3 linked regions of the Macaca mulatta genome follow. The protein of the gene in region 2 interacts with the protein of the main gene of each other region in a pairwise test. Links are inferred from orthologs where the notes say so. Each region holds a gene or a part of one and is shown on either strand. Other genes may lie near its edges. The genes, in order: PRTFDC1, FLAD1 and TRIM23.

Region 1 (10,511 bases), on a different chromosome or scaffold from region 2:
TCCAGGAGAGCCTCTGGCAGGCCACAGCAAAGACCAGACCAGGAGAACCCTGACTGGCCCCAGGCCCCAGGGGGATCACCCAGGTGTACAGCACTTTCTGGATCCCCTTTCAGACCACATATACTATCTACCCAACTTTCTGCAGCCCCTCCACCAGTGGCACTATTAACAGGTGGTCTTCTGAATCCATTCCTCCAACCACATCAATCCTTTACTGCCCCCTGCTCTGGTTGAATCTCGGAGAATACTCTCCACTCCACGTTCAAGAGTTTGGCTCTGACACTTATTACTGTGATGTTAGGGAGATGACTTACCCTCTCTGCAATCCAGTTTTCCCTTGTTTTAAATAAGACACAAACCTATAGATAGGGTTATTGTAAGGATAATATACTTAGAATACCTGGAGCACTGCATGGTGTATAACACATGATGTTTGACACGTGATGCCAAAAAAAGGAAAGAGACTAAAAGTGCCAAAAATGAATGCCAAAAATAGGAAAAGATGACAAGAAAATGACAAATGAAACAAACCTATAGATTAAAACTGTAACATGGATCCACAGCCCAGAGGCAGCACAGAGTACTGTGTTAAGAGCATGGACGTGGAAGTCTCACACACCTGGGACAAGTCTGCCAGCCATAAGGCCTTGGGCATATTACATTCTCTAAGTCTTAGTGTATTCATCTATGAAATGGAGTTAGTGCCTGCCTCATATGGCCATGGTGAGCATTAAATAAGATAATGAATGTAAGACTCATATCAGTATCTGGTCTACAGTACTTATGCAATAAATGCTGATCATTTAGATGAACTGAAACATCAAACATTTAACAACAAATTATATGTGTTAATTCATCTAAAGAAGTGCCTCAAACCTACATACCGGTCTTAGCATCTTAGTTAAAACTATACATTTGAGGCCTGGCACACTGGCTCATGCCTGTAATCCCAACACTTTGGGAGGCTGAAGTGGGAGGATCACTTGCCCAGGAGTGCGAGACCAGCCTGGGCAATATACCCCATCTTTACAAAAAAGAAAAAGAAATTGGTCTGGCGTGATGGCATGTGCCTGTAGTTTCAGTTACTTGGGAAGCTGAGGCAGGGGGATTGCTTGAGCCTAGGAGGTCAAGGCTGTAGTGAACCATGATCGCATCACTGCACTCCAGCCTGGGCAGCAAAGTGAGACTGTCTCAAGAAAACAAAACAAAAAGTATAAAAGTAAAAAATATATTTCTCTAAAACTGTTCTATAATCCAAATTGGCCATTATTTTCAATTAATCTGAAATAGTGAGTTTTCATTGTTGAGATGAAAGTCAATTCAAGATGATGGAAATACTGGTTTATGCTTTGTTAATTTCAATGGTGCATGCAAATTCTGTTGTAAATAAATTGAAACCTGTAGGAATGGAGGTTGCTATGAACTGTAGATAATTGTTATTCACGTGTTTTTTAAAAAATCAAAACCAGAGTCTGTAGATAGTTTCAGTATCACAGATAATATGCTCTAAGTGTATTCAGCACAATGCTTTCTCTGTTCAAAACAGCAAAACATAGCCAAGCTGGGGGAAGTGACAAACCCATGAACTGAGTCATTTTATGCAACATCCAAATCCCAGAACTCATTCTGATTCTCTTTTTCGCACTGAAGATGCACTGAAAACTTTGTAAGTCATTAAGAATATTTTTTTTTGTGCTTAGACTATTTTTTGCATTATTTTTCTCCCTGAGGGAGAAAACACATATAAGAAGCTAATCTCTACTCTTCTCCCCTGCTGAGCTCCACAGATTGACCCCGCTCTCTCCTTCAGGCCATAGCTCTCATCTGTCCTCCACCAGCAAGAGAAAGGGGGTCTCGTCCCTTCATTGTAATTCAAAGAATCCCAGACAGGAGTTCTGGGATTCCTGTCCCAGCCCCAGAGCCAGGGAGGGAGGTACCCTGGGAAGGGCCTCACCTCAAAACCACACATCTTGAAAAGTGGGGACAAGTGGTTTGCTAAAAGATTCCCAGGTTCTGCTCACAGAGGAACAAAGGAAGTTCGACAGGCCAACCACCTGGTATCCACATGCCTTCCTCTTCTGTGGTGGGTTTGCCCTTCCGAACGCAAACTCATTACCACCTAGTAGAGCTGTGCTTTCGATGGAGCTATACCTGATTACTTATCTCTGCTACTGCCATATTTTCACTGGGGGTGATGGGAAGCCAGCCATAACAGAAACACAACAATCATTTCAGCTTTTTCTCTTCTCCTGATTCCTACCAAACTCACTTAGGTAAGTACTAATGATGGCTCCCTTGATAATCCTTTGGCGAAAACCAAACCAGACAAAAACAAACAAACAAACAAACAAACAAAAACATGTCTAATAACCCAATCCCCAAAAGCCAGGTGGATAGAGAAGATCTTTCTCTCTCCCTGAGAAGTAACAAAGAGGTATCAACCAGGAATCTGGTGACTTTATTAGCTCCAGATCAAATGGCAAGCCAACTCCGAGCAAAATTTCTCACCTTAGGATCTACCTCTCTTATGTGGCAATTAGCATTTGCTACCATTTATTGTTAATGGTATAAATGTCCCACCTCCCCAGTTCAACTGAAAGCCATTGATAGGCAAGAGCCATCTTAAATCTCTTAATATTCCCTTCTCTTGCACAAACTTTACTTCTCGTTTCATGCTTATAACATCTGACTCTACATCCCTTGCCGTCTTTATCAACAAATTTCTACCAACTCAGAATTTTCTTCTCTACCTCATTCCTGGACAATTCCTTGGGTGATTTACTCCAATACCTACCTCGACAATCCTTCCAACAACTTCATCTTGTAGCTCCTCCACCAGCTCAAACTACATACCTAGCTCAAACCACATCTTTATTCCCCATTTAGCAATATATTCACATAGCCACACCAGTCCTACAGACAGCCCCAACCCCGAAGTTCCATCCTGGAATCACAGCTTCCTATGTAGCATAGTGATTGAAAGCTGGTTCAAATCCTACTACTGCCATTTGCTACTTATATGACCTGGGTGATTTACTTAATCTCTCAGTGCCTCAGTTTCCTCCTCTGTAAAATGGGGAGTATGCTAGACCTCCCTTACAGATTTGTGCTCAAGAAATGCTTGCTATTATTACCTGCCCTCTGCCCCTTTTTTGAGACAGGGTCTCACTCTGATGCCCAGGCTGGAAGGCAGTGGCGCGACCATGGCTCATTGCAGCCTTGATTTCCTGGGCTCAGGTGCTTCTCCCACCTCAGCCTCCACAGTAGCTGGGACTACAGGCATGCACCACCACGCCCAGCTAATTTTTGTATTTTTTGTAGAGAGAGGGTTGGCTGCCCAGGCTGGTCTCGAACTCCTGGGCTAAAGTGATTCACCCACCTCGGCCTCCCAAAGTGCTAGGATTACAGGTGTGAGCCACCACTCCCAGCCACCTGCCCCTTTTGAAAACTGGTACTAATTTGATATTTTGTATCCCATCCATGAGAGTATTCTATTCTCCCAGTAAACTCATCCTCTCCAGATTTCCCTTCCCTCCTGCCTTACCTGCCATGAGTTGCCTTCTACCAGCAGCTTCGATTGACTCTGAAATTGCCTGCTTATATCCAACTCGAGGTTAATCTAATTATTCCAAGTTCTACTGGAGAAAAGGATGTAAATGCAGGGACTATCTCCATTATACATGGACTATTTCCCACCTTGGTGGGCTCTCATACAAGCACCAAGCCCCATGGCAGCTGGTCCAGTTTATACTCATTTTTTTGTTTTTATTTTTACTTTATTTTATTTTATTTTATTTTTTTGAGAAGGAGTTTCACTCTTGTTGCCCAGGCTGGAGTGCAATGGTACAGTCTCAGCTTGCTGCAACCTCCACCTCCCGGGTTCAGGCAATTCTCCTGCTTCAGCCTCCCGAGTAGCTGTGGTTACAGGCATGTACTACCATGCCCAGCTAATTTTGTATTTTTAGTAGCAGCTAGGTTTCACAATGTTGGTCAGGATTTTATTGAACTCCTGACCTCAGGTGATCTACCCACCTTGGCCTTCCAAAGTGCTGGGATTACAGGTATGAGCCACCTCACCTGGCCCTCTATTCTCTTTATACCCCTCTTACTACCTCTTTGCATTTTTCAAAAAATTACCTTGCTTCCAGGAGGACCTCTGTTGACACCAATAGACTGGGCTATTTACAATGTTCTCTCACTTGTTTCTTAGACTTCAACAATTTACCTACTCTATCAGTGCATCTAGATCCACCTTATTCTTTTCTAAAAGTATCTAGTATGTTATGGTAGTACAAGTTGAGTACGCCTCACCCAAAATGCTTGGGACCAGATGTGTTTCTAATTACTGATGTTTTTTTTTTTTTCTTTGGATTTTGGAATATTTGCATTTACTTCCTGGTTGAGCATCCCTAATCTGAAAATCCGAAATCCAAAATGCTCCAGCCAGTATTTCCTTTCAGCATCATGTTGGCGCACAGAAAGTGTCAGATTTGGGGGCATTTTGGATTTTGGATTTTTGGATTAGGGATGCTCAACTTGTACTATATTTTAACTGTTCTACCAATGGAGTGGTTGTTTAAAAGATTCTCCCTACTAATGACTTTGTAATTGTTAAATACAGTGGCTGTTTTCCATCTTGGTATCCAACTTGCTGTCCCTGTAGCATCTGACACTTCTGATGACCTCTTGACACCGCCCCTCCCGCTCAACAATGCTCTGTTCCCAAGGCACCCACCACCCTGCCTGCCCTCCCACCCTTCAGCGTTCTTTCTCGGTTCCTTCAACCAGCTTCTCCCCCACAGGCAGCCTCCTACATTTGGGACTTTCCAGGCTTCCATCCTTAACAGTTGCTTTAATTGTTTTTTCCACATTCACTGAGCATTCCTGAACATTAAATATTATTCTTTCTGCTGATTTCCAAATCTCTCCAATCGCTCTCCTGAATTCCAAATGTGAATTTCACAAATTGCCTACAGTGCAGCCCGATCTGTGGGCCTTACAGGCACTGCAGACTCAATTTGTCCACAATGAACTTAGTGATTGCCCTTTTTGCGTTTTAGTCTCCCTCCCATCCATCACACCGCTAGGCTTGCCCCTCCTCCTGGGGCAACTGGAATGGTTTTTATAAAAGCATAAATCGGATACAATGATTCTTTTGCATTTGATATGCGGGTCTCCGCCTGCAGTCCACATGGCTACTCCTGTGTACCCTTCAGATCTTAGTTCAAAGGTCACCGCGGAGAGGCTGCCCTGACCACCTGAGCAAAAGCATCACTCCCCGCTTCTCCTCCAATTACCCTCTATCCTGTTACCCTCCTCCTATTGCACATCTCTACTGGAAATTTTCTCTATTTGTTTACACACTGCTTGCCTGTGTCTTCTCTAGAACGCAAGCTCATGAAGACAAGGCCTTTGTCTTTTGCACCCCAGCGCCTACAACACCTTCTGCAACCCAGCAGGACAATCAACTTGTGGAATGAATAAATAAATCAACACCTCATCCTTTAAGAAGGAAAGGGCCTGCTGTTAAATTAAGCACTGAGCCCCACATTTCAACCTGACCGGTTCTGTCTGAGTGTGTCACCTTTCCCTCCCCAGCCCACTTACTTTAGTTCAGGCCATTCATATTCATAAACAGATTATCTGTGAACGACAAGCTGATCCCTGGAAAGAGATGGCAAGTTAGCTCCACCCACCATCCTCACCACCATTGAGTTTCACATTGAACTTGACACAAGTTATAACCACCACCTTCTAGGAAAACCACTTCTCAGGGAGCAGGGAGGACGCGGCCACAAGGTCAAGAACGGATTAGATCCTAGCACACTGACCCTCTGGCTGACACCAACAGGAGTCTCAGTTCTGGGAAACCAGCATCCCACACCCTCCCATCCGGACACACTGCTAGATATTTTACATGCATCCTCCCAATTCGCTCCGGAGCCCAGCCTGCTGTTGCTCCCTTTTACAGACAAACCATAGGTCCCGCAGGAGCGTGTCCCAGAGCTCCTGCAGAGGCCTCCACTGCCAGAGAGCCCCCCAACCTGGGTACCAAAGGCTTCAGAGCTCAAGTTCTGTCAACTTGAGCTACTTTATTTCCTGGCTGCCTTCAAAACCCCTCAGTGTCCTTTTTAAAAACAAAACTTGAAGCCCGCTCTGGAAGAGGAGGCCCAGGAAGAAGGAGGCCTACAGAGCAGCACGCGGGTGTCTCGGCCCGGCCGGCTCCCAGAAGCTGCTCCCCGTGGCTCGCTGGGATGGGGACGGCTGGGCGCCGGCGGGACGCTGCAGGAGCGGGCTACCGGCCGGAGGACGCGGGGGGACGCTGGGAACTCGGGGTGAAGGGACGGGACTCGGCGTTTCCTCAGATTGGGGGCGGGGAGAGGAGGCCAGGGTCTGAGGATGGAAGCGATCCCCGCCAGGAGGGAGAACAAAGCGGTGGCCCGCTTTCTCTCCCGACGCACGGCAGGCATTTAATCTACAAGCAGGGTGCCAGGGAGGAAGGGGAGCGGGGCGAGCCCCAAAATCGGGAGTTTGCATTTACCACGACGCCTCGCCCGTAGTCTGGCGCCTCCTCGCTGCTCCCGGCCATGTTTCTCCCGGGGAACGCGGGAAGGGAAGACGGCGCGGGAAGGAGCTGGGAGGGCGAAGGTTGCGTGGGGGAAGGGACTTGGGGATGGGGACCCGGCCGCCCCGCCCCGCCCCGGGCCCGCCGGCTGGAAGCAGCGGCCTGGCGCGGATCCAGGGCCCCGGCGCGGCGCCCCCTCCCCTGGCGAGGCCGCGGGGGCGCGGGGAGCAGCTGCCAAGCCGCGACCGCTCCCCGTGAGCGCGGGCCCCGGGCGCGTCCCTCGCGGCCACCGCTGTCGCCGCCGCCGCCTGCCGGATGGTCGCCTGCAGCCCCCGGCCTCGCCGCCAGGCCCCGCGGGGACTCGGGAGCACGAGGCAGCCCGCGGCAGGAAGAGAACGTGTCCCCCAGGCCCCTGCTTCCCAGATCCACCGTCCTAGCCCTCGGGCTAACAATCTCCTTGGCTCTTCCCTGCCAGATTTCATGCACGCGATTGTCCCAAGCAGAAGCGTGAAAGAGCCTGCGAGCCGGCGTGCTCTTGGAGGATGGGCAAGTGTCCTGGATGTGTTTTCAAACCCTGGAGCCGCCACCCACCTCTCTCCACCTCCCCTCACCTCCCTCCACTTCCCCTCACTTCCCTCCACCTCCTCTCACCTCCCTCCACCTTCCTCCGCCTTTCTCTGCCTTCCCCCCATCTTCCTCATCCCAGGGCCTGGAGCTGGAAAGATTACACCCGATTGCTTTTAGGGTGGCCCAGATCTGCAGGGATCAGATCTGGGCTTTCAGGATCCGGCCTTTCAGCCTTTGGTCAACTGCATTCAGGGGAGGAGGGGGAGAGATTTTTTCACATTCTCTGCTTTACCAGTTTTGCAAGAACATCTGGTCAGATTGTAATTGTTCCAGGTTGCAGCTTTATTAAAGCAGTCACTCTCTTCTGATTAGAAATCCTTCTCGTATGAGTCTGTTGTTCATTTCAACCCCTCTCACATCCCTGTGCTCCAGTTCTTTGTCCACTCCTGCAGGGTCCTGCTTTTTCTGGGTGTGTCTTCAGTCCCCAGGTCCCTGACATCTCATCAGCATCTTCATTCACTCAACCCAATTCAGGTTGAAGGCCTGAATCCAAGAGAACTGAACACAGTTTTCCTGATGCAGGCCTCTTTTGTTCATCTTCGGATTCTGGCACACAGAGGGGAGAGGAATGCTGATTTTGCCTAGTTTAAAGGGAAAATAGTTATCAATCGGTTAATGACGTTCTAGATTGGAAAAATATTAGTCATTCAGACTTGGCGCCCTGGTCCTGCTCAGCAGGGCTGGCTCTTCGTGTCGTTTCTAAGCACCACTGCCTTGGAGGGTGCAGCTCCAGAGATCCTGAAATCAGGCTTCTGCTTGGGAACTGCCTTACAAAAATGAGGGGTGTTGTTTCCCAGCGCACAGGTAAACATTTTCTCTTAGTAATTGTCAGAGGGTGTTGTTTTGAGCCATTTTTGTAGTCTGCCTCTCACTTCTTTTCCCCAAAGTCAAGCACCATCTTCCCTTTTCATTTTCAAAGACCAGGCCCAGGAACCATATTCACCAGCAACTTCATTAAAATTTCCAGGAGCTGAAAAGTGCTATCATTAGGGTGGTGATCAAACTTGAGAGTTCAGGACTCTCTTGGGGAGCTGTTTAATGCAGCTTCACTGGGTGGGGAAGATCTGTGGAAGCACCTAGAATCCTGCACCTGCTGAGAGACACCAGATGGGTGTGATGTGGATGGCTCATGACCTGTGCTTTAGGGGATTCTACTAGACCATCTTACTGCTTGGATATCAAACTTAGCCATGAGGCTCAGTGTGGATACAGGGCCAGATTAGGGTGTACAAGGAACTTCAAAATATGTCACAGGAGTAGTTGCCATGCAGAAGTCAAAAAGCGACAACTTTGGTTCCAGCCTAGACACTATGGAACATGTAAGGGAAATGGTAGATAAATCATCTTCCCTTAGAAAGGCTATTAGTTTAAACGTAAAATCCAACAAGTTCACAGTGAAAAATGAAACTTGCTTGAAAGGCAACAATTATGAATGTGTGCTCAAGAACATCCTACATAGACTTATACAGGTCATCCTATAAAGGGCACAGAATGATGAGTAAATAGTTTTTTAAAATCTAATTCATTTTCTTTATTATCTTTGTATATTTTGATAATATTTTGTGCAGTCTGATTATACTTTGATACTTTGGAGAGCATTAACATAATACAAGATAATACTTGATAACCCAAACAGTATTTGCAAAGACCGGTATCCAGAAATAACAGCTCATCTGTCCAGGCTTTATTCTTAATCTTGCATTATGAGGATTTAGAGGCAAAAATTCTTTTTAAACCTCAAATTTCTCTTATGTGTTGTATTAATCTGTTCTCATATTGCTATAAAGAACTACCTGAGACCTGGATAATTTATGAAGAAAGAGGTTTAATTGACTCACAGTTCTGCAGGCTGTACAGAAAGCAAGGCTGGGAGGCCTCAGGAAATTTACAATCATGGCAGAAGGCAAAGGGGAAGCAAGCATGTCTTACCATGGCAGAGCAGGAGAGAGAGAGAGAGAGCAAGGATGTAGTGCCACACACTTTTAAACCATCAGACCTCGTGAGAACTCACTCACTATAACGAGAACAGTATGGGAGAAATCCACCCCCATGAGCCAATCGCCTCCCACCGGGTCCCTCCCCCAACATTGGTAATTACAATTCAACATGAGATTTGGGTGGGGACACAGAGCCAAACCATATCACATATCTAGTAGAATAGCTTTGGACTAGGACCTCTTTTTCTGTAACAATCCATGTTACTTTAGCCAATGAGTCTAAGCCAATTATATCAGTGTAATATACATCAATTTTCTCATCTGTAAAATGGAGCAACACATTTATTCTCTACTGCATATGATGATGAGATGAACGTGAGATAACATACAAGAGAATTCTTTGCAAAATGCTATGAAACTGTAATATATTATTAACCTGAGATGCTGTAAAAATGTATGACCAAATGTTTGTGAAATTATTCCATGTGAAAATGACAAGGAATTGTCTTTTAAGGTTGATGGGGCTAGGCACTATGACTTACACCTGCAATACCAGCACTTTGGGAGGCCAAAGCAGGAGGCTCACTTGAGGCCAGGAATTCAAGACCAAAGCTGGGTAACATAGTGGGACCACATCACTATAAAAAATTAAAAACTTAGCCAGCTGTGGTAGCATGGCACCTGTAGACCTAGATACTGGGGAGGCTGAGCTGGAAAGATTGCTTGAGGCCAGAAGTTTAAGGCTACATTGAGTCATAATTGCACCACTGCACTCCAGCCTGGGTGACACAGCAAGACCCTGTCCCTACAAATACATAATAATAATAATAATAATAATAATAATAAAAGATCGATGTAAGGTGAACAATCAGGGATAGTTATAGTCTAGGAATAATCTAGAGCTGGTATGAGAATAAATACAGAAAAATGATAACATTATTAAAATAATGAGATTTTCCATAAAAAGGGATATTTTAGCTCAGACTGTCCATTTCCTTTTCTTTTTTTTTCCTTTCCAACTTTTATTTTAAGTTCGGGGGTACACACGCAGGTTTGTTTGGGAAAATTGCATGTCACAGGGATTAGGTGTACAGATTATTTTGTCACCCAGGTAATAAGCATAGTACCTGATACATAGTTTTTTAATCCTCACCCTTCTCCCACCCTCCACCCTCAAGTAGGCCCTGGTCAGACTGTCCATTTTCTAATATGCCTTTGAAGGAGCTATAAGAATAAAGATGCGCATCTTTGCAAAGTTAATAACCAGCCAATATACTTGCATTTTTCTGTCATTCTCTTTATTACCTTTTAGCAGTAGGTCCCCTGCATTTTATTTTATTTTTTTTTAGTGTTTATATTGTGTTCACTTACATTTCTTTTTT
Region 2 (10,419 bases):
GAATTAACAGAAGCTATCTTCTGCCCTCCCTGGGATTTGCAGGAAGCACCCAACAGCCCCTGCATTACTGAGATCTGGGGTGGCACCAATGGCTTTGGGCATACTGCCCCTCCTCCATAAGGTCCCTACCTGATTCAGCGAGTTTGTATACAGCCTCACTGGCCTGCTCCACGGCGTTGGGCATGTAGGGGACCAGCGATCCCTGGGGCAAACGGGCAGTCAGGTAGGCCAGGCATTCCTCCAGGGGTCCTTCTTCCTCTGAGTCTAGAGTCAGCTTCACCTGATAGTAGTTGCTGCCCCAGTCAGGGTAGGAACCCAGGCCAAGCCTACGTCCAAAGTGGGCCTGGGCCTCAGCCAGAATGGGGGCAATGGAGGCTTCATCAGCAGCCACATACAGCTCCTTTGAGTGGAACTGAACAGCTGGGTTTTGGAACAGTCCCTTCAGCCCCTCCAGCACCCGCTGCAGCAGCTCTGGAATGCCTGGGAAGAGGTAGACATTTCGGACGGAGACCAGTGGGAATCTGAAGGGATGACCAGTGCGAGGATCTGTGCCGTAATGCAGGCGGGCAGAGGAGGGCACCAATGACAGCTTCTCCCAGCCTTCCCCTCCTAGGGCTTTGGTGGCTGCTTCCAGCTCAGGGTGTGGCTTCAGCTCATCCCCAAAGGCCCGTGCCACTGCCTCAAAGGTCACATCATCATGAGTGGGGCCGATGCCCCCTGCTGTGAGGACATGGGTGAAGCGGTTGGAGAAAGAGGTGACCTCAGCTGCAATGGTGGCTACCTCATCAGGTACAACTGAGACTCGGCAAACCTGGACCCCTAGGGAGCGCAGTGTCCGGCACAGAAAGAAGGTGTTGGTGTCCTGAGTGTGTCCCTGGGGGTTGAAGGGGAGGATGAGGCCGTCAGTACTGTAGGGATGAAGGGCAGGGGGTTGGAGATGATGGCTGCATCCACCTGATGATGCAGTGCTCTGCTCTTTGAAGGACACCACCTCAGGCTGCTGAGGGGCCTGGACTGGACACAAGAGTGGGAAAATCCATTTGTTTGTTTTTAAAGCTGGGTCTCTGTCACCCAGGCTGGAGTATAGTGGCTCAATCACAACTCACTGCAGCCTCAACCTCCTGGGCTCAAGGGCCACCTCAGCCTTCCGAGTAGCTGAGACTACAGGTGCGTGCCACCACGCTCAGCTGATTTTAATTTTTTTTTGTGGAAATGGGGTCTTGCCATGTTGCCCAGGCTGGTGTTGAATTCTTGGTCTCAAGTGATCCCCCTGCCTCAGCCTCCCAAAGTGCTGGAATTACAGGTGGGAGCCACCACGCCTGGCCTGCTTTCTTCTTTCTGTCCCCACTGCCACCAAGCAGGTCCTTAGCACCTTTCACCTGGACAATGGCAACAGCTTCCTGGCCAGGCTTCCAGCCTCCAGCCACAGTGCTCTGCTCTGTCTCCTCAGTAACCTTTATTAATGCGTCACTGTGATTGCATCACTCTTGGACTTAAAAGCCATTTGTTGTTTCCAAATGTATACAGAATAAAGTTCAAATTCCTTTGCAGAGTATTTGGGGCTGTCTGTGGCGTACACCCTATCTTCTTTTCCAGCCCCATCTCCCTCTAATTGTCTACAATGGGTTTAGTGGTTAAGGGTTTGTGTTCTGATGGCCGGGCGTGATGGCTCATGCCTGTAATTTCAGACCTTTGGGAGGCTAAGCGGGGTGGCTTGCTTGAGCTCAGAAGTTCAAGACCAACTGGCACAATATGGTAAAACCCCATCTCTACAAAGAAATAAAAAAAACTAGCCGGGCGTGGTGGCACATGCCTGTAGTCCCAGCTACTTGGGAGGCTGAAGTGGGTGGACTGCTTGAGCCCGGAAGGCAGAGACTGCAGTGAGCCGAGATCGTGCCACTGTACTCCAGCCTGGGTGACAGGGACCCTGTCACCAAAGAAAAAAAAAGGGTTTGTGTTTTGGAGTAAGAGATTATCAGGCATTAGGCTGGAATCCCATCTCTACAACTTCCTAGGTATGTAACCCTGGGCAGGTTTCTCAACCTCTCTGACCCTCAGTTTAATCATTAATTGGGCTTTTTTGCTGACCAGGTGTGGTGGCTCATGCCTGTAATCCCAGCATTTTGGGAGGCTGAGGTGGGAGGACTGCTTGAGCCTAGGAGTTCGAGACCAGCCTGGGCAACATGGTGAAACCCTGTCTGTACACAAAAATACAAAAAATTAGCTCTAGCCTGGGTGACAGTGAGATTTTGTCTCAAAAAAAAAAAAAGGCTGGGCAAGATGGCTTATGCCTGTAAACCCATCACTTTGGGAGGCTGAGGTGGGAGAATTGCTTGAGGCTGGGCTGTTTAACATTGTGAGAACCCCGTTTATAAAACAAACACACACAGAAAAATAAAATTTTAAAAAAGAAAAAAAGTGCCAACTTTGTAGGGTTGTTGTGAAGATTAGTAAAATCACATATATGTGATGTATAGCACACTGCCAGGCTCTAGTAGGCACTTAAAATATAAGGGTCATCACCCTGGCCAAAATGGTGAAATCCCGTCTCTACTAAAAATACAAAAATTAGACAGGCGTGGTGGCAGGTGCCTGTAATCTCAGCTACTTGGGAGGCTGAGGTGAGAGAACTGCTTGAACCTAGGAGGCAGAGGTTGCAGTGAGCAACCATTTGCACTCCAGCCTCAGCAACAGGAGCGAAACTCTGTCTCACACACATACACACACATACAAAAATAAAAATAGGGGGTCAGGGCTGGGTGCGGTGGCTCACGCCTGTAATCCCAACATTTTGGGAGGCTGAGGTGGGTGGATCACTTGAGGTCAGGAGTTCAAGACCAGCCATGGTGAAACCCTGTCCATCCCTACCAAAAATTAAAAAAAAAAAAAAAAAAAAGGGTCTATTAAGGCTGAGTGCAGTAGCTCATGCCTGTCATCCCAACTACTCGGGTGGCTGAGGCATGAGAACTGCTTGAACATGAGAGGTAGAGGTGCAGTCAGCTAAGATTCCACCAATGCACTCCAGCCTGGGCAACAGAGTGAGACGCTATCTTAAAAAAAAAAAAAAAAGACAAATTTACAAAGAATATTAAAAAAGATTACTATTAAAACTTGACATTTGGCCAAGCTCGGCGGTTCATGCCTATAATCCCAGCACTTTGGGAGGATGAGGTGTGGGAGGATCACTTGAGCCCAGGAGTTTGAGACCAGCCTGGGCAACACAGTGAGACCCTGTTTCTGCAAAAAAATAAAAATAAATTAGCCAGGTGTGGTAGCTAACACCTGTAGTCACAGCAACTTCAGAGGCTGAGGCAGGAGGACTGCTTGAGCCTGGAAATGGAGGCTTCAGTGAGCTGTGACTGTGCCACTGCATTCCAGCCTAGCTGACAGAGCAAAATCCTGTCTCAAAAATAAAAAAACCCTTGTCATCCTTGAGTCATTTCCAAAAAGGCTGAGTAAAACTCTTAAATATACAATACATACACCTGTACCTCCTCTACTCAAGGGGCTTCCTGTCATTGTTGTGTAGCCCCTCTGCCCTCTACCATACTGCTTGGTAAATTGCAATGACCTTTTTATTTTTATTTTTCTTCAATCAGCTCTCAGGTTGAAAAATTGTAGGGACTTTGCTACAAGTTTTTCAGTAGAGTAATTCAAAGAATGAGGGTTAATTTTCCTTCAGTATGCTGCATCCACTCCAGGATCCTACTGCAGCAAGGAGGCTCCCACCCTGTCTCATTTCCCTCCATGGAGGGATGTGCAGCAGGCCCTTAAGGACAAGAGAACGCGGCGCCCTCCCCCCTTTTCTGTCCCAGACACACCTTAAGGATCTCATCTCCAACAATGATGATGCCAGCCGTCACGCTGCGCCCCGGGGAAAGTTCAGAGGCCCTAGATGTCATGGTCCTGCCTTCTCTGCCCCTCTGCAAGGCCCTCCAGTAGCCACCCAGACCCCCAAATAGGGGTCGCAAGCACAGGCGGCCCGCCAGGTCTACAGGGCACTGGGGGCCATAGCCTGGGAACAGGGGATCCTGGGTCGAGGGAACCTGGAGAAGCCAGAAAGGACAATGGGGGAGAGCAGGCGTGCACGTTCCTCCTTAGAGGAAGACCCTAGTCTTCTCTAACCAGATCCTTGACAAGCGACTCCTTTATTCCTGCCTCTTTAATAAACGTGTTCCCCAATCCCAACCCATGCCCTTTTTTTTTTTTTTTTTTTTGAGACAGAGTCTGGCTCTGTCGCCCAGGCTGGAGTGCAGTGGCCAGATCTCCGCTCACTGCAAGCTCCGCCTCCCGGGTTCGCGCAATTCTCCTGCCTCAGCCTCCCGAGCAGCTGGGACTACAGGCGCCCGCCACCTCGCCCGGCTTATTTTTTTTTTTTTTTTGTATTTTTAGTAGAGACGGGGTTTCACCGTGTTAGCCAGGATGGTCTCGATCTCCTGACCTCGTGATCCGCCCGTCTCGGCCTCCCAAAGTGCTGGGATTACAGGCTTGAGCCACCGTGCCCGGCCCCCATGCCCTTTTAAATGTCTTCTAAGCTTAACTCTAGTCTTAAAAACTCCTTCTCTCTTGAGAACCTACCGCTTTAAGTGTCTTCCGTTTGCTGAGCTGGTCTCCTCAAGTGTCTGCTCTATCTTGGACATCTGTATCCTTTTGAATGTCTCTTCGGGGCATCTGCCCCTTTAAATGTCTACGTTATCCTGGGCCTTGGCCCTTTTCAATGCATTCGCTCTCTCCACCCCGGACCAAAATCCCGTCTCTTTCTACTTCAGGCTTCTGCACCCTTTCTAGCCCTGAAATCCCTTGTCCCCACCAAGCTTCAGATTACTGAGGGCTCCTAGGCTCTCACCTGCCTGTTCTGCCCCTTCACCGGGTCTTTCCCTTGTTCCTTTCCTCATGTCCCGGGGCAGCTTCCGTACTTAAAGTCCCGCCTTATTCACACTTAGCTGACATTGAGTGGTGATTTTGGCTGTCGCTTAGACTCTTCCAGGGTCCCATTGGTATATTCAACTGTCGCTCTCAGGTTTTAGCCAGTGGGTGAGAGCAGGGCCTGATTGTTATAGGCGACAATCACTTGGCCACCCCTCGCCCGGAAATACGGGGGCCGGACCTTAGCCCACGATCGGGGGCGGGACCTCAGGAGTTTAGGGCGCGGGACCTCAGGAGTTTAGGGCGCGAAAGGAGCAGTGGTTGGAGGTGAAGTAAGGTCCTAGGGGTGTTTCTGGTGCTGGATTCAAATTATTGTTATGCATATGTTGCTTTGTTTTATTTAATGAGTCAGTTAGCCATGGTTTAAGCTATTTTCATTCACTGTGACTCTAACACTAGGCTAAGGGCTTTTGGAGTGAGCAGGGATCTTACTTTGTAGCAGAAGTTGGAGGGACACGGAGAAAGATTATCACCATTGTCTGTCGGGTATGAAGACCCTGGAGTAGGTGAGCTTTTGGTGTGTGGAACCTTAACTTATCTCTAGTATAATAGACAAAACTAATTACTTAAACCTCTTTGACAAGAAAGAGTCCCAAAACCCTCTCTTCCTCCACCTTGCTCCAGATGGTGCTTAGTTCAAATGACACCTTTCCCAGTTACTGGTCTTGTAGGTGCAAACGAGGCAGCGAATAGGGAGTGCCTTACATGTTTACTCTGGATCCTCACATCATCCGAGCTTACCCCCATTTCAGTTGCCTTTGGCCCAAACGTGCATCTTAAACTTTTTTCCAGTAATAATCTGGGGATCTTCTCATATGCAGATTGATTCAGTAGGTTTGGGTGGGGCCTGAGATCTGCATTTAGCTATTTCCCATGTGATGGTGATCCCACTGCTCTGTGGACTACATTTTGAATGGTAAGGGCCTGAATTCATTCTTTTTGATTTTTGAGGCGGAGTCTCGCTCTGTCACCCAGGCTGGAGTGCAGTGGCGCGATCTCGGCTCACTGCAAGCTCCGCCTCCCGGGTTCATGCCATTTTCCTGCCTCAGCCTCCCGAGTAGCTGGGACTACAGGCGCCCGCCACCACGCACGGCTAATTTTTTTTTTTTTTTTTTTTTTTTTGTGTGTGTGTGTGTATATATATATATATATATATATATATTTTTTTTTTTTTTTTTTTTTTTTTTTTAGTAGAGACGGGTTTTCAGCGTGATAGCCAGGATGATCTCGATCTCCTGATCTCGTGATCCACCCGCCTCGGCCGCCCAAAGTGCTGTAATTACAAGCGTGAGCCACCGCGCCCGGCCAAATTCATTCTTTGTAGGACTGCTAAACCACACCTTGTCCCAGCACTTTGGGAGGCCGAGGCGGGCAGATCACCTGAGGTCAGGAGTTGGAGACCAGCCTGACCAACATGGAGAAACCCCGTCTCTACTAAAAACACAAAAAATTAGCCGCGCGCGGTGGCGGGCGCCTGTAGTCCCAGCTACTCGGGAGGCTGAGGCAGAAGAATGGTGTGAACCTGGGAGGCGGAGCTTTCAGTAAGCCGAGATTGTGTCACTGCAGTCCAGCCTGGGCGACAGCGAGACTCCATCAAAAAGAAAAAAAAAACCCCTATGAGATACATATCATGCTAATTTTACAGACGAGGAACTGCCTCAAAAAGGTGAAGGTTTGCCACACAACCGCAAAACACTGTGGATGGTAGATTCAGGTGATCAGACGTCTATACCATTCTTTCAAGTAATAAGCCCCCCCCTCTTTTTTTTTTTGAATCAGTCTCTGTTGCTCAGGCTGGAGTGCAGTGACACAAGCACCGTTCACTGCAGCCTTGACCTCCTGGGCTCAAGAGATCCTCCCATCTCAGACTCCAGAGTAGCTGGCCCACAGGGGCGCCCCACCATGCCTGGCTAATTTTTGTATTTTTAGTAGAGACGGGGTTTGGTCATGTTGCACAGGCTGGTCTTGAATTCCTGGGCTCAAGTGATTCCCTGCCTTGGCCTCTCAAAGTGTTGGGATTACAGGTGTGAGTCCCCGTACTTGGCCCTCATTTCTTTCAATTATAAAAAGTCAGCTCTTTGAAAAAAAAAAGGGGCAAAACAGGAATTCCACTTGCCTAGTAAACCACATGTTCCAATATCTTTATTAGTAATACAGGTGATATTTGATCCCCTCCCAAAACAGAATACCAAGTCTGTTCCAGTATTTTCCCAGTGGATTCTCAAGCTTAAGTAAGTGTACATCAGAATCAGTCGGAGAGCTTGTGTTAAAACATTGCCCCGGTGCCCAACCCTGGGTTTAGGATTCACTAGGTCTAGGTTGGAGCCCAATAATTTGCATTTCTAATGAGTTTTCCCGATGTTGATGCCTGCTATTTTAGGAATAAGTGGATGGAAGACAGAAAAAATGGGGGAGATTAATATCCTTACTTAGTACTACTACTTTGTTAGACTAAAGGGGAAGTTATTATTCTGTGGAATGCTTTTTTTAATTGAGACAGCTTCTGTCGCCCAGGCTGAGTGCAGTGGCGTGATTTTGGCTTACTGCCACCTCTGCCTCTCGGGTTCAAGCGATCCTCTCGCCTCAGTCTCCTGAGTAGCAGGGATTACAGGCACACACCACGCCCGGCTAATTTATTTTTATTTTTTTTGAAGACAGAGTTTCACTCTTGTTGCCCAGGCTGAAGCGCAATGGCGTGATCTTGGCTTACTACAACCTCTGCCTCCCAGGTTCAAGTGATTCTCCTACCTCAGCCTCCCGAGTAGCTGGGATTACAGGCATGTGCCACCACGCCCGGCTAATTTTGTAGTTTTAGTAGAGATGGGGTTTCACCATGTTGGCCAGGCTGGTTTCAAACTCCTGACCTCAAGTGATCTGCCCTCCTTAGCTTCCCAAAGTGTTGAGATTACAGGCATGAGCCACCACGCCCGGCCTGGAATGTTTTCTTAAACAGCTACATTTTGCACCTGTTTTCTCAAAGCTTCCTTCTTTACCTACCTGCATAAGATGCCTGAAATCTTTGCCCCCAGTCCACACTCCAGACCAATTAAGAATCCTTAAGAATGACTCAAGCAGGCATCAGTACTTGTAAAGCTCCCCAGGTGATTCCAATGCCCAACCAAAGTTAAGAACAGCTGAAAACCTCCCCCAACCGAGGGGCACAGTGAATAGGTCATAGGTGTGCCTATTATTCCTATTAGGAATTGGGACACACAAGCATCCTTTTACCCGTGTGTGCCATTCAAATATTGGGACTATGTTAAAGGCAGCACCCCGACTGTAGGAAGCAGTTCATTTGTTTGGATGAGATGAAGTTGTCCCTATATAACCTCTACCTCGGGCCAGTAGTTAGAGTGAAATATGTTTCAGTAGATGTTTGACAGCAAGTCTGCTTAAAGTAGATTAAAAACGAGTTATCTGAATGTTAAAATAAACCTCATTATCAGCAAAGAGCTGAGCTTCATTATCAAACTGAAGGGCATGTAATTAGAACCATGATATTGATGATGCTCACCCTGAGTGAGGGGAAAAAACCCTTACAATTACAGCATTAGATTATAAAAACTTCCTCTTTAATCAAGGCTTTTAACATGAACAGATTTCTTGAATAAAATGGAAAGTTTCCAGTACACTGAAACATAAATCCACAAGTCACCATACATACAACACCCGGCAGGAAAAAAACAAAAACAGCAAGTTTACATGATCTCTGTTAACAGCCATGGTCTCAAACTCAGATGCTTCCTCCATCTGCCAAGTGTGTTCTGGATACAGAGCACATCGTGGCTTCTGGGGTCACACTCAGCTGAGGCTGTGGGTCCACAGAGCACTCATCTGGCTAGACTATGGTGGTGGTGGCTCTACTCAAGAAGCAAAGCAGTTACCAGCACATTCAAACAGTGTATTGAACATCTTTTAAATATCAAAGTGAGAAACAAGAAGGCAACATAATAATATTATCAGAAAGATGTTAGGAAGTAAGGACAGCTGTGTAAAGCTTGAGGCTGAAAAGTAGCTTGCCAGCTTCATTTCTTTGGCTTCTTGGGTAGTGGGCGCCGGAACAGCAAGATGTGAGGTTCTGAAAGAGTGAGGGAAATCTAAGAGACAAGCGCACACCATTCTATGTACAACCTATAGTGTATTCCACTACCATCTCCCCAGCTATCACCCACTCAGATCTTTATAACTAAATAAAGACTTAAGCATATGGCCTTGAGAAGCAGACCCAGAATCTGGACTGTCTGCCAAGTACAGAATTGTTAATATCAGTTCTTTTGCTATGTTTATACAGCCCCAGGGTGTCCTTTATTAAGTTTTGCCTGGCAGCTGGGTGTCTGGTGCCTTATCAATAAATATACTTTCCTTTGCTTATTTGGAATACATCCAAGAATGTTTTCTGATGGAGAATGAGGCAGGGACTATGACCAGGCTATATGTGGCCTTAAAAAGAATACCCTCTGATTGAATGGAAGATTACAGGAGGTTTTTTAGTGACAGGTTGTCTCTGAACCTGTCACTTTTTTAATCTTATTTTTGGTCACTAGTTTTTTTTTTTTTTTTTAATCCCCCATGACTAGAGGGGGAAGAAACCAATAAACTATTTCCTATCTCCCTATTTGGGTTATACAATCTTATTCCTTCATTCTCTCAGTGTAGCAGTTCTATATGGTTGTTTTTAGCCAGTGCACTGACCTGGTTCATGGATCATATAATGGACCCATCCCTGACTCTGCTGAACGCCAAGATTCCTCCATTCAGATTCAGACATCAAATGAGTTTTAGGGACCAGCTTGGCTATGTCCTTGGGCAGCATGACATGTCTGTAACAGAAACGGAGAAGTGAGGAATTTGTTAGTACCAGATATAGTCTCAGACAACTGCCTGTTTACAAGGCCAAGAAAGGAAAGAAAAACTAGTTTCTGATGTCAGAGTTTATATAATTTTATTGTGGGGTAGCAGCAGCTAGAAATACAGGCTATGTTATATAAATTCTGAGAGTATATGAAAAATACAAATTAGTGAATAATTCCAGTGAATAAGCACTTAAGTTCCAGGCACATTTTCTCTGCCTTCATGGACCTTATAGTCTTCTAGTTGATTGCCTACAATATAATGGGAGCCCCACGGAGCACACAGTGTTAATAATTAGAAGGAAGGAAGAGAAGTTATTCTGTGGAGAGGAAACGCCTTTTATGGAGTACTGTGTGGACAAGTCATCACAAAGGATGAAATGAAATATCCTTTAAAATCTAAGCCAGGCATGGTGGCACATACCTATAGTCCCAGCTACTCGGGAGGCTGAGGCAGGAGAGTAATTTGAACTCAGGAGTTTGACAAAGATACAGTATGAAGTTTGAAATCTTTGATTAAAATACAGAATAGGCCAGGGACAGTGGCTCATGCCTGTAATCCCAGCATTTTGGGAGGCTGAGGTGGGTGGATCACTTGAGGTCAGGAGTTTGAGACCAGCCTGACCAACAACGTGAAACCCCA
Region 3 (10,249 bases), on a different chromosome or scaffold from region 2:
GTGGATAAATTATTTTTAATGTGTTCCACTTGAAAAATAGTATGAATATATTAAAATTGTCTTACATAGTGCAACTGACCTGAAAAAAAAAAAAATGGCAACCTTAAACTCTTTTGGAGAAAACTCCCTTATCAAAAAGAGTAAACTTACAAAACTTATGTTTGTAAAATCATTGTTCAAATGTTAGTAAATGCTATTATTTCCAAATCTGGTACCTGAAAATAACTTAGTTTGAAATATATAAAGCAAGTGTTAAAAGTATACAGAAAACCAAAAAAAATCCACAAACCCTTCAAACTCATTTTAACAGAAAATACAGAGTAATTATCACAAGCTACAAACACTTCTGTCCTTGATATTAGTAAATAAAAACATGCTGAGACTCAATGACTTATCTGTATTTTCATTATTGGCTTATTTATTTGTAAAGAAAACATTGTTTTATTGGGTTAATGGCTTCAGGCAAATGATTCATTCTGTGATGCATATTCTTATTTATTTGAATCAGGGTAACATGTTTTTCTCAGGTGTCTTAAAGCTCTTTACAGGTAAGTATTGAATATAAACATCTCAGAAGACAAAATAAAATTAGTAACTAAGCGTGAGATAGTTTATAGCTTGAAGATTATTCACCTTAATAGAAACTCAGGCTTTCTGAAACTTTCTGGGAATTTTATCATTCTAAAAATCAAGTGGAAGGAAATTGTTTTCTATGACATTTGCATTACATGAACAATTTTCAATCTTAAATCCATACAAATACTTTTCCTACCTAGGTCTGTTACTTGTCGATCAAATGGGCAACGGATTGCTCTTCCATGAAGAGGTAGGCGAGTGAGACAGTCATGACAGACTGTATGGCCACAAAGCAAAAGGCGAGGAACTTTGTCTCCTTGCAAAGAAAAGACGTCTTCACAAACTCCACACTCTAGCACCTAATATTTGAAAACGAAGGATGTACTCTTTAAACCATTTTAAAAGCATACATATTTTAGGTATATAAGAAAATTCACCTAATATATTGAATCAACATTGTTACTTTATTCCTCCATGAAAAAGAACTATGTAAGTTGTAAAATCTTAAATCACTTTTAAGTCATTCCATCTGACAGACCCTGCCAAAATTATATCGTAACGAAATATCTTTGAAATACTAATAGTAGTGTTAGGGGCAAAGATGCTGTAAACTAACATCTTCATTATCTTTTGAAAATTATGATTTCACTCATTACATCTGAATCTGTACAAACAATATGTAATTCTACTGAAGGCGGGTTCTTAAGCAATTTCTCTGCAACTACCTAACCCATCATTAATTTCAACACAAATAAACTATCATTAATTTCAACAAAAATAATCTAAAATACGTGCTAACAATTACCCCTGTTAATGATAAAGAACTTGTTAAGAAAAGACTACAACTAACTTTCATGTTTCTGGTATCTAATGTACATTAAATAATACAAAGTCAAAAAAGCAGTCACCTTAAATTTCAATTCCTGTGCTCTATCAATAAATATAGCTCTGAATCAGAAATTAGTTTGTCTATCTAATTCTAGTTACAGACACATGACTTGCACAAGGCTACACAGTCAGTCAAAAGAAAGGCTATTTATCAGCATATTCTGATTCTCAAGTCCATATGTTTATGTTTTATAAATAGTCAACAAATTGTATTTATAGCAATAAAGCATTTTCAGCACTTATTTCTAAGTATATTTGTAGTGTTTCATTAATTTTTTTAAAATACCCACTGTACTATTCAATCATACCTCAAACTCCTGTCATTCAAGACCCACTACAATCTGGTCCCTGTTCTACTGCTTCACTGCCACACTCTTCTGACCCTGTGCTCCAACTATATCCAACAGCTTATAGTTCTCAGAACATGAGAAACTGTTTCATGTTTCTTCATGCTAATACTGAGGAAAGGACTATACTTGTCCTTTGGGCCCCCAAGTACTCTGTATAAGTGTCTACCATAACACCCAAAATGCTTTAATACCTTGGTTTTCTAGTCTGTCTTTCCCTGTTGGACCAAAAAACCCTCAGGAACAGGGTATTTTAAATACCAAGTTCCTAGTGCTTACATAAAGTCTAGTAAAATAATTTAAAAACAATTAAGCTCAACATCATCAAACACACAACACAAGGTAAAAAACAGAAAACCCAAGGCAGAAATCAGACTAAATCTACTACGATTTTAAACCTAACTCTGTAATTAACTTGGACTTTGGGCTTGAGATACAAATATCTTTCACCATGAAGTGATAATTCATAATTGCTTTGTATATTATTATGGTTCAAAAGAAATTTAAATTTAGTCTTTCAATGTAAATAAGGGTTTGGGAAGAGAAAAATAAATAAAAATAAGAAACAAAAAAAATTGTTCACAGAAAAGACGATGAAAATTCTTTACATGAAAAGATGTTCAATCTAACTCATAACAAGAAAAATGCAAATTAAGGCTAGGCACGGTGGCTCATGCCTGTAATTCCAACACTTTGGGAGGCCGAGGCAAGTGGATCATCTGAGGTCAGGAGTTCGAGACCAGCCTGGACAACACGGTGAAATTCCTTCTGTAGTAAAAATACAAAAAAATTAGCCAGGCATAGTGGTGGGCGCCTGTAATCCCAGTTTACTCAGGAGGCTGAGGCAGGATAATCGATTGAGCCTGGGAGGCGGAGGCTGCACTGAGCCAAGATCACAGAGTGAGACTCGGTCTCAAAAAAATAAAGAAACAAAAAAATGCAAATCAAAGCTACATCAAATACTTTTTTTTTCAGATTAGATCAAAAATGTTGGTAACACTTTGTTAGTGAAGGTGTGGGAAAGCAGACACTGTCATACATTACTAATTGCTATGAAATGTTTATTGAGCAATACAGCTTTTATGAAGGGCAACCTGTCAATACTTACCAAGTTTAAGTAACTCAGTAATTCTAGTTGCAGGAATTTATCCTACGAGCATATTAGACATGTGTGACAAAATCTGTATGTTAGTCCTTAAAGCATCATTTGCATTAGCAAAAAATTGGAAACAAAGTAAATACACATCAATATCAGCTTGGAAAATAAATTATGGCACATTCATAATACTATAAAACTATATAGGATAGTGAGAAAGATGACGTTTTTCATGTACACACAGAATGATTTCATATGATTAAAACAAAAATGATAAATAGAATATACTCATTTTTGCATAAAGGTGGGGAAAGAGCAAATTTTTATATTGTTGTATAAACGTACTGTCTTCCTGGAAGGATACATAGGACACCAGTAACACTGGAACATCGGTTCCCCATGAGAAAGAGAAACAGCTAGGGAACAGCTACCCATGTATAATTCTATCTATTATTCATATATACACATACTTCAATTCATCCTACATTTTTTAAAAAGGGGAAAGTTTCACGTTATCAAATCCATTTAGGTCAGGCACCGTGGCTCACACCTGTAATCACAGCACTTTGGCACACCAAGGCAAGAGGACTGCTAGAGGTCAGGAGTTCAAGACCAGCCTGGGCAACACAGTGAGACCCTGTCTCTACAAAAAAATAAAAAACTGAGGTGGGAGGATCACTTGAGCCCAGGAGGTTGAGGTTGCTATGAGCCATGATTGTGCCATTGCACTCCCACCTGGGTGACAGAATGAGAACCTGCCTCAAAAAAAAAAAAATTCAATTAAATATAGAAAAAATATTCACAGGCCAGGCGCGGTGGCTTATGCCTGTAATCCCAGCACTTTGGGAGGCCGAGGTGGGTGGATCACGAGGTCAGGATATCGAGACCATCCTGGCTAACACAGTGAAACCCCATCTCTACTAAAAATACAAAAAATTAGCCGGGCACGGTGGTGGGCGCCTATAGTCCCAGCTGCTTGGGAGGCTGAGGCAGGAGAATGGCATGAACCTGGGAGGTGGAGCTTGCAGTGAGCCGAGATTGTGCCACTGCACTCCAGCCTAGGCGACAGAGCAAGACTCCGACTCAAAAACAAAAAAAATCACAATAGAATTTGATATAAAATAAATGCAACATTTTATAAATGCTGTATTAAAACTCTAATAAATTAAATTTGTTTATAAACTCCAAAGAACCATATTAAAATTTTGTTTAGTTCATTTCAATCCTGTATCTCTGATCCCACCACTGTACAAGATTTAAAAGAATTTCCTTATGCTGTTACCGTATTTTTCAAAAAGCACTAATAAAATTCCATTGATTAGCAAACCAAACACAGGTCCGAAAATAAAGTTACTAGACTATTTTGCATCAACTTGGTAAATAATCCAGCAAGAAAATATTTCCTCAGTATCTATGAATAGGAATTGTGGTTAACAGCAAAAAGCCCTAGATAGGAAAAAGCTCTTAATTTTACATTTCACAAAATGCCAAAACAGCTTCAAACTTATTACATGTAAATCAAACTGTAATCAATCAGATTTTATATATATATATATATTTTTTTTTTTTTCTTTTTTTTGAGAAAGGGTCTCACTCTTTCTCAAAAAAAAAAGGGTCAGCCAGGCTGGAATGTAGTGGCCTGAGCATGGTTCACTGCAGCCTCGACCTCCCGAGCTCAAGCAATCCTCCTGCCTCAGACTCCCAAGTAGCTGGTACCACAGGCATGTGCCACCATGCCTGGCTAATTTTTTTAATTATTATTTGTAGAGGTTGGGTCTCACTATGTTGCCGAGGCTGGTCTCAAACTCCAGGGCTCAAGCAATCCTCCCACCTTAGCCTCCCAAAGTGCTGAGATTAAAGGTGTGAGCCACTGTGCCCAGCCTCAGACTAAATTTTAAAAGGCCTAAGAAGACTCACTAAGCAAAACAAACTGTGATACATTTTTACATGTCAGTTATTTCAAAATATCAGATTTTTTATTTTTTATTTTTCAGATGGAGTCTCACTCTGTCACCCAGGCTGGAATGTAGTAGCACAATCTCGGCTCACTGCAACCTCCCCCTCCTGGGTTCAAGTGATTCTCCTGATCAGCCTCCTGAGTAACTGGGATTAACAGGCCCACACCACAATGCCTGGCTACTTTTTGTATTATTAGTAGAGACAGGGTTTGGCCATGCTGGCCAGGCTAGTCTCAAACTCCTGACCTCAAGTGATCAGCCCACTTCGGCCTCCCAAAGTGCTTCCCAGGCACTTTGTGCTTTACAAACGTGTGCCACCGCGCCTAGCCATATCAGATTTTTATGTTACTGGTTTCTCTAATGATAAAAACCATGTAATTATCAACTTGTTCACAAGCACAAGGCCATTTTACACAGTATTAGCATTATATACTTCAATTTTTACCTTCCAATAAATACTTATTGCTTTCATCTATACAAATGACAGTAAGGTTTTTTTCAGTTTATACCCCTATAGCTACTACAAATTATGGCATGAAGATTTTGTCAGAAAGGACTATTTTATTGCACAGTTCAGGAACATTTTACATGTTAAGATGAAAATGAACAAGGTGAGCCTCTGATGTATCAAATTCTGTGCTGTAACAAACTGGAGTTACATCAGGCTTTGGTACACTTTTGAGACTATAAGGCAAACAGCGTAACAACAAAATAGATACTGCAATGATACCCCTTCCAATTATGAAATAAAACTTAAACTTCAAGTTAATTCACAAAGTACTCTGCAAGTATTCTCTACTTAGCAAAAGCACAATTCAATAAATAAAATCTCAATCACACAACATGCCTAATAACGAGGGCTCTTTTGCGTTATCAGATATGCTGTGCACCTGTAGAATAACTTCATTACTACCTAAAGGTCATCTGAATCAACGACCACCAATACTGACTGATACTAAATTGTGGGAAGAAATGTCTCACTTGCTGTCATACAAAACCAACATTAACTGAATAATCGTAGGTGTCTATTTTTCAAGACGTTAAAAGAACTTCATATATTATCCTGTTCGGTAATTCTTAACCCTGGTTACATATTAAAATAACTTATGGGCATTCCTAAAATCTACTGTTGTTGTCAACCTCATCAGAACTGGAGGAGGAGTGCATCAGTAGTGTACTAAAAATCTTCAGTGATCCTAATATGTAGCCAGGAATGAGAATTTTCAATCTCTTAGATTAGAGATGCTCCCGAAGGTTACTCTATAAAACCAATGAGATCAGTTCTCCCCTCCAGATCTCTCCGTGCACAAGTGTGGAAGGGAAAAATGACTGCCACATATTTCAAATGATTTTTTAGCAAATTCATTCTGGAGCATTTATACATGGTAGAATCTCAAACTTCAAGCATAAGGAAATTCATTAACTCTATCGTTAACGCCCAGCTATGACGATGTTGCAGACTTCTGAAAAGTGTTAATAGACTGTACTACTAACAGGAGAGAGGGCAGCTCAGCCAGTAACAGATGTCTCATTACAGACGCAGTACAATAGGGAAAAGCATAGGCTTTAAAGCCGGTCAACCCGGGGCTCTGCCACACACTGTGTTTACCTAAACCTGGATTTCCTCCCTGTAAAATGGGAATTAACATCTACTTCATAAGTAGATATTAACGAGCTAAAACACCTAACGTAGTACGTAGTTACGATGACGATGGGCCAATTTATAATACTAAGCTAACTAATGCCTGTTGAGTTTAACTAAAAGCAGAGGACCTGGAGAAAAGACCGGTCTAGGTCACTGGACCGCAAGCTCCTTTTCATAAATGTTCCGATTATGACATGTCATGAGCAGAAGACCAGGCAACTTCAGGCCATAGGAGAGAAAGGATGCAGAGGAGAGGACAAGACTTGTAAAGCCAAAAGGGGCCCAGAGGCCGCGCATCCCACCCATCGAAGCCTGGGCCGTGGCGATGCAGCCAGGTCTCCAGGATGAACCGAAGGGAGGCCAATGGTGGAGAACAGAGCACGCAAGGTCCCTCACCTTCACTACAGCTGTCCCCCGGCTGCCCTGCCGGCCACTGTCTACTCCCGCTCCAAGCTTGTTTACAACCAGAGTAGCCATCCTCGTAGGAGTAGCGCCACAGATGCAGCCTTCAGAGTCCTCAACTGAGAGGCGGGGTTAAGCCACCTACCCAGAGGCCTCTGCGCACGCTACCGGCGCACAGGCGCAGTAGGACACAGGGCGCCGCTTAGCCGACTCTTACTACTCCTCCCTGCAGTCGTGGGGTACTTCGTTGCACAGCCTCGCTCATGGGCACTTTTGTTATTTTTCATTACGTAGTCTGCAACTGCTGGAGGAAAGACAAGGGAAAAAAAAAAAAAGAAGGGATAAAACAGAATTAAAGTTTTGGGGTGAAACTCCAGCTCCTTTAATGATTTTTCCTCTCGAATCGCAAACCAACCAGGGTGTAAACTGAGGGCGGTGAAGGGATACGGGCATCTCCCTGCATGCAACGCGATTTTCGTATAAACTACAAATCCCAGCATGCCACTCTCTCTTTTATTTATTTATTTTTTTTAAACTCCGGCAAAGTTGGCCTTTGGGAGGCGGCGTATTGTAACCGAGGGGTGGTTTCTTTTCCTGAAGTCGCGATGTGCGATAGCAGATGGAAAACAAAGTGTTTTATGCATACGTTTCTAAGATAAAAGAAATGGACTTGGTGAGAAGAAGCCAGTCTGTAAAGAACACAGTAAGAAAATTTAAGGTACCACCACCGGAGAGAAGTTGAAAGTGCGTTTGACTTCTGGTCTTGCCAAACGCGAGGTTTTCCGTTTCCTTCCGGGCCAAGTTGAACCTGTCCAGCCCCCGTAGGCCGTGGGTCAAAAGTGCTGGTCAAAATGGAAGTGAATCCCCCTAAACAGGAGCACCTGCTGGCGCTGAAAGGTAAACTTTTGCGAACCTGAGTACCCGTTTTCTGTTTTCTTCCCTTCCCTATTTATCGAAGCCTTTGCCATGTAGGCCTCAGCCTTCTTAAACACCGTCAGTGCTCGCCCTCCTGCTCTGTCCTTTGGCGCCAGGCGGGAGGAAGCGATTTCGCCTGGATGCTTTTTAGGTTTACGGGCTCCTTTCTAGAATGAAATAGATACCTGGTAAATCACTCTTTCTGATCTATGCTGCTTCAGTCACGAGATTTTAGCGGCAGAAGCTGACGTCCCGCTCCTACCGTGGAGATCTCTGTGAACTAAGATGAATTACAGCGGGCATGTAAAGTGCTTTTTCCTTCTGTCTCTCGTTTCTTCCTGTGGCACTGACGAAGTTATCAGGCTTCAGTTTCCCCTGTAAAATTAGTATTGCATAACAGTAGTGCAAAGAATTTAGCAATATATAGTAATACAACATATAACTTAGATTTATTAAAAACAAACTGCAGTTTACTTCAAAGCACTGTGTATGTGGGAAATATGTCCGAGATCTAATGTCAACTCTCATTTTTTGTACACAGCCATTTTGAGTAAGTTTGGTGATTTAATTAGATCTTTATTTAGGAAAAAACAGCAGGCTTTTTTTTTTTTAGGACAATTTTTTTTTTTTTTTTATTTTTAATGCCTATTTTCTGGAAATCTTTTTATTTGAAATCTTTTCAGCTTTATTTTATTTTTTACTACAACAAATGCACTTTTTGTTTCTTGGATGCTCTAACACGGGGTTAACAATGACTTATTGAATGAGCTGAGGAAATGCTCAATAAACATTTGGGTTCAATTGAATTGCACTTATTTTACTTGTGGCATCCATTTTGAGGAACACATCCTTCCCATTATGATGTAGTCATCAGACATTCTAGAAGCTCATCAGTCTCATATAATGATGCCTGTGTTAGCGAGATTGTCTCTTACTGTGGAACTTTGTAATGTTAAGTTATACAGTGATGGGACCTCTAAGCTTAACCTGAGCAAATGATCTAGGCTAAAATGGAGACTAAAATGGATTGTTACTCGTGGAGAAGAGGGAAAAGAAGAAAAGCAACTAATTGTCATGTTCTTTATCTCGCGATCTCACTTCAAGTATGTGGAGTAAATATTAATTCTTAGAGTTTAAGCAACTTTTCCAAGATCACATAGCTAGTAAGTGATTGAGGCAGTGTTTCAACGCAAGGCCTACCTCTCTCTTTCCAAGAGTTCATGTTGCCTCCTAATGAATGAAACGGCATTCTCAGAAATAATTCCTCTACCAACTACTCTGATGGGAATTTGGAACAGTTCTATTAGCTGCTACGTGTGATTTATACAAATTAGAAGCTATTAAAAACAGTTGAATTCCAGCTGGGCGCGGTGGCTCATGCCTGTAACCCCAGCACTTTGGGAGGCCGAGGCGGGTGATCACGAGGTCAGGAGATCGAGACCATCCTGGCTAACACTGTGAAACCCCGTCTCTACTAAAAATACAAAAAATTAGCGTGGCTTGGTGACAGGCGCCAGTAGTCCCAGCTACTAGGGAGGCTGAGGCAGGAGAATGGGGTGAACCCGGGAGGTGGAGCTTACAGTGACCCGAGATCGCGCCACTGCACCCTAGCCTAGGTGACAGAGCCAGAGACTCCGTCTCATAAAACAAACAAACAAAAAGTTAAATTCCAGTGATACAGAGACTGCCACTGAGAATTTTTAGTTTTCTGTTATTCTTTGTTTTCCAAAATAAAGGATACCTAAGAAAGAATATTTCAGCAGCCTAAGCCAGGCGTGGTGGCTCATGCCTGTAATAGCACTTTGGGAGGCCGAGGCTGGCAGATCACTTGAGGTCAGGAGTTTGAGACCAGCCTGGCCAACTTGGTGAAAATCCGTCTATACTAAAAATACAAAAATTAGCCAGGTATGGTGGTGGACATCTGTAATTCCAGCTACTCGGGAGACTGAGGCAGGAGAATCGCTTTAACCTAGGAGGCAGAAGCTGCAGTAAGCTGAGATTGTGCCATTGCACTCCAGCCTGGGTGACAGAGTGAGACCCTGTCTCAAAAAAAAAAAAAAAAGAATAAACAGCCTAAACTGGTAAGTGCTTTAAAATTGATAGTTTCAACTTTATTAAACCTCTTTGGTACCATCTTCTAGTTAACCCATTGTTCTAGTTGATCAACAGTTTTCACAGCATTTCAATTTACTGATGCTGGATGCCAAATGTATCAATTTAAGTGGTCATTTAGGTTCACTTTATCTTTTAATATGTAAAATGTTAAAGATAATATTTTGTTATTCTTGGTTGGGTGAGGTGGCTGATCACTTGAGTTCAAGAGTTCGAGACCAGCCTAGCCAATATTATGAAACCCCATCTCTGCTGAAAATACAAAAATGCCAGGCGTGATGGTGTGCACCAGTGGTCCCAGCTACTCGGG

Evidence for each region.
Region 1: the proteins of FLAD1 (region 2) and PRTFDC1 interact in binary tests that used the Homo sapiens proteins (3 or more experiments, as listed by UniProt). The two-hybrid records come from large-scale screens. The link is inferred for Macaca mulatta from reciprocal best matches to the Homo sapiens genes FLAD1 and PRTFDC1.
Region 3: the proteins of FLAD1 (region 2) and TRIM23 interact in binary tests that used the Homo sapiens proteins (3 or more experiments, as listed by UniProt). The two-hybrid records come from large-scale screens. The link is inferred for Macaca mulatta from reciprocal best matches to the Homo sapiens genes FLAD1 and TRIM23.

The regions. Positions count from the first base shown.
Region 1 is NC_133414.1:26,381,993-26,392,503, forward strand, and holds the start of PRTFDC1 (phosphoribosyltransferase domain-containing protein 1), read right to left. Parts: upstream 6,621-10,511; 5' UTR 6,590-6,620; coding exon 6,542-6,589; intron 5,665-6,541; exon of another isoform or gene 5,608-5,664; intron 1-5,607. UniProt on the Homo sapiens protein: Has low, barely detectable phosphoribosyltransferase activity (in vitro). Binds GMP, IMP and alpha-D-5-phosphoribosyl 1-pyrophosphate (PRPP). Is not expected to contribute to purine metabolism or GMP salvage.
Region 2 is NC_133406.1:112,016,022-112,026,440, forward strand, and holds the start of FLAD1 (FAD synthase), read right to left. Parts: upstream 4,906-10,419; 5' UTR 4,579-4,905; intron 4,047-4,578; 5' UTR 3,903-4,046; coding exon 3,822-3,902; intron 875-3,821; coding exon 130-874; intron 1-129. Other genes in the region: CKS1B (cyclin-dependent kinases regulatory subunit 1), read right to left, coding at 8,952-9,004, 9,619-9,746. UniProt on the Homo sapiens protein: Catalyzes the adenylation of flavin mononucleotide (FMN) to form flavin adenine dinucleotide (FAD) coenzyme.
Region 3 is NC_133411.1:73,707,264-73,717,512, forward strand, and holds the start of TRIM23 (E3 ubiquitin-protein ligase TRIM23), read right to left. Parts: upstream 7,021-10,249; 5' UTR 6,988-7,020; coding exon 6,907-6,987; intron 936-6,906; coding exon 773-935; intron 1-772. Other genes in the region: TRAPPC13 (trafficking protein particle complex subunit 13), read left to right, coding at 7,764-7,809.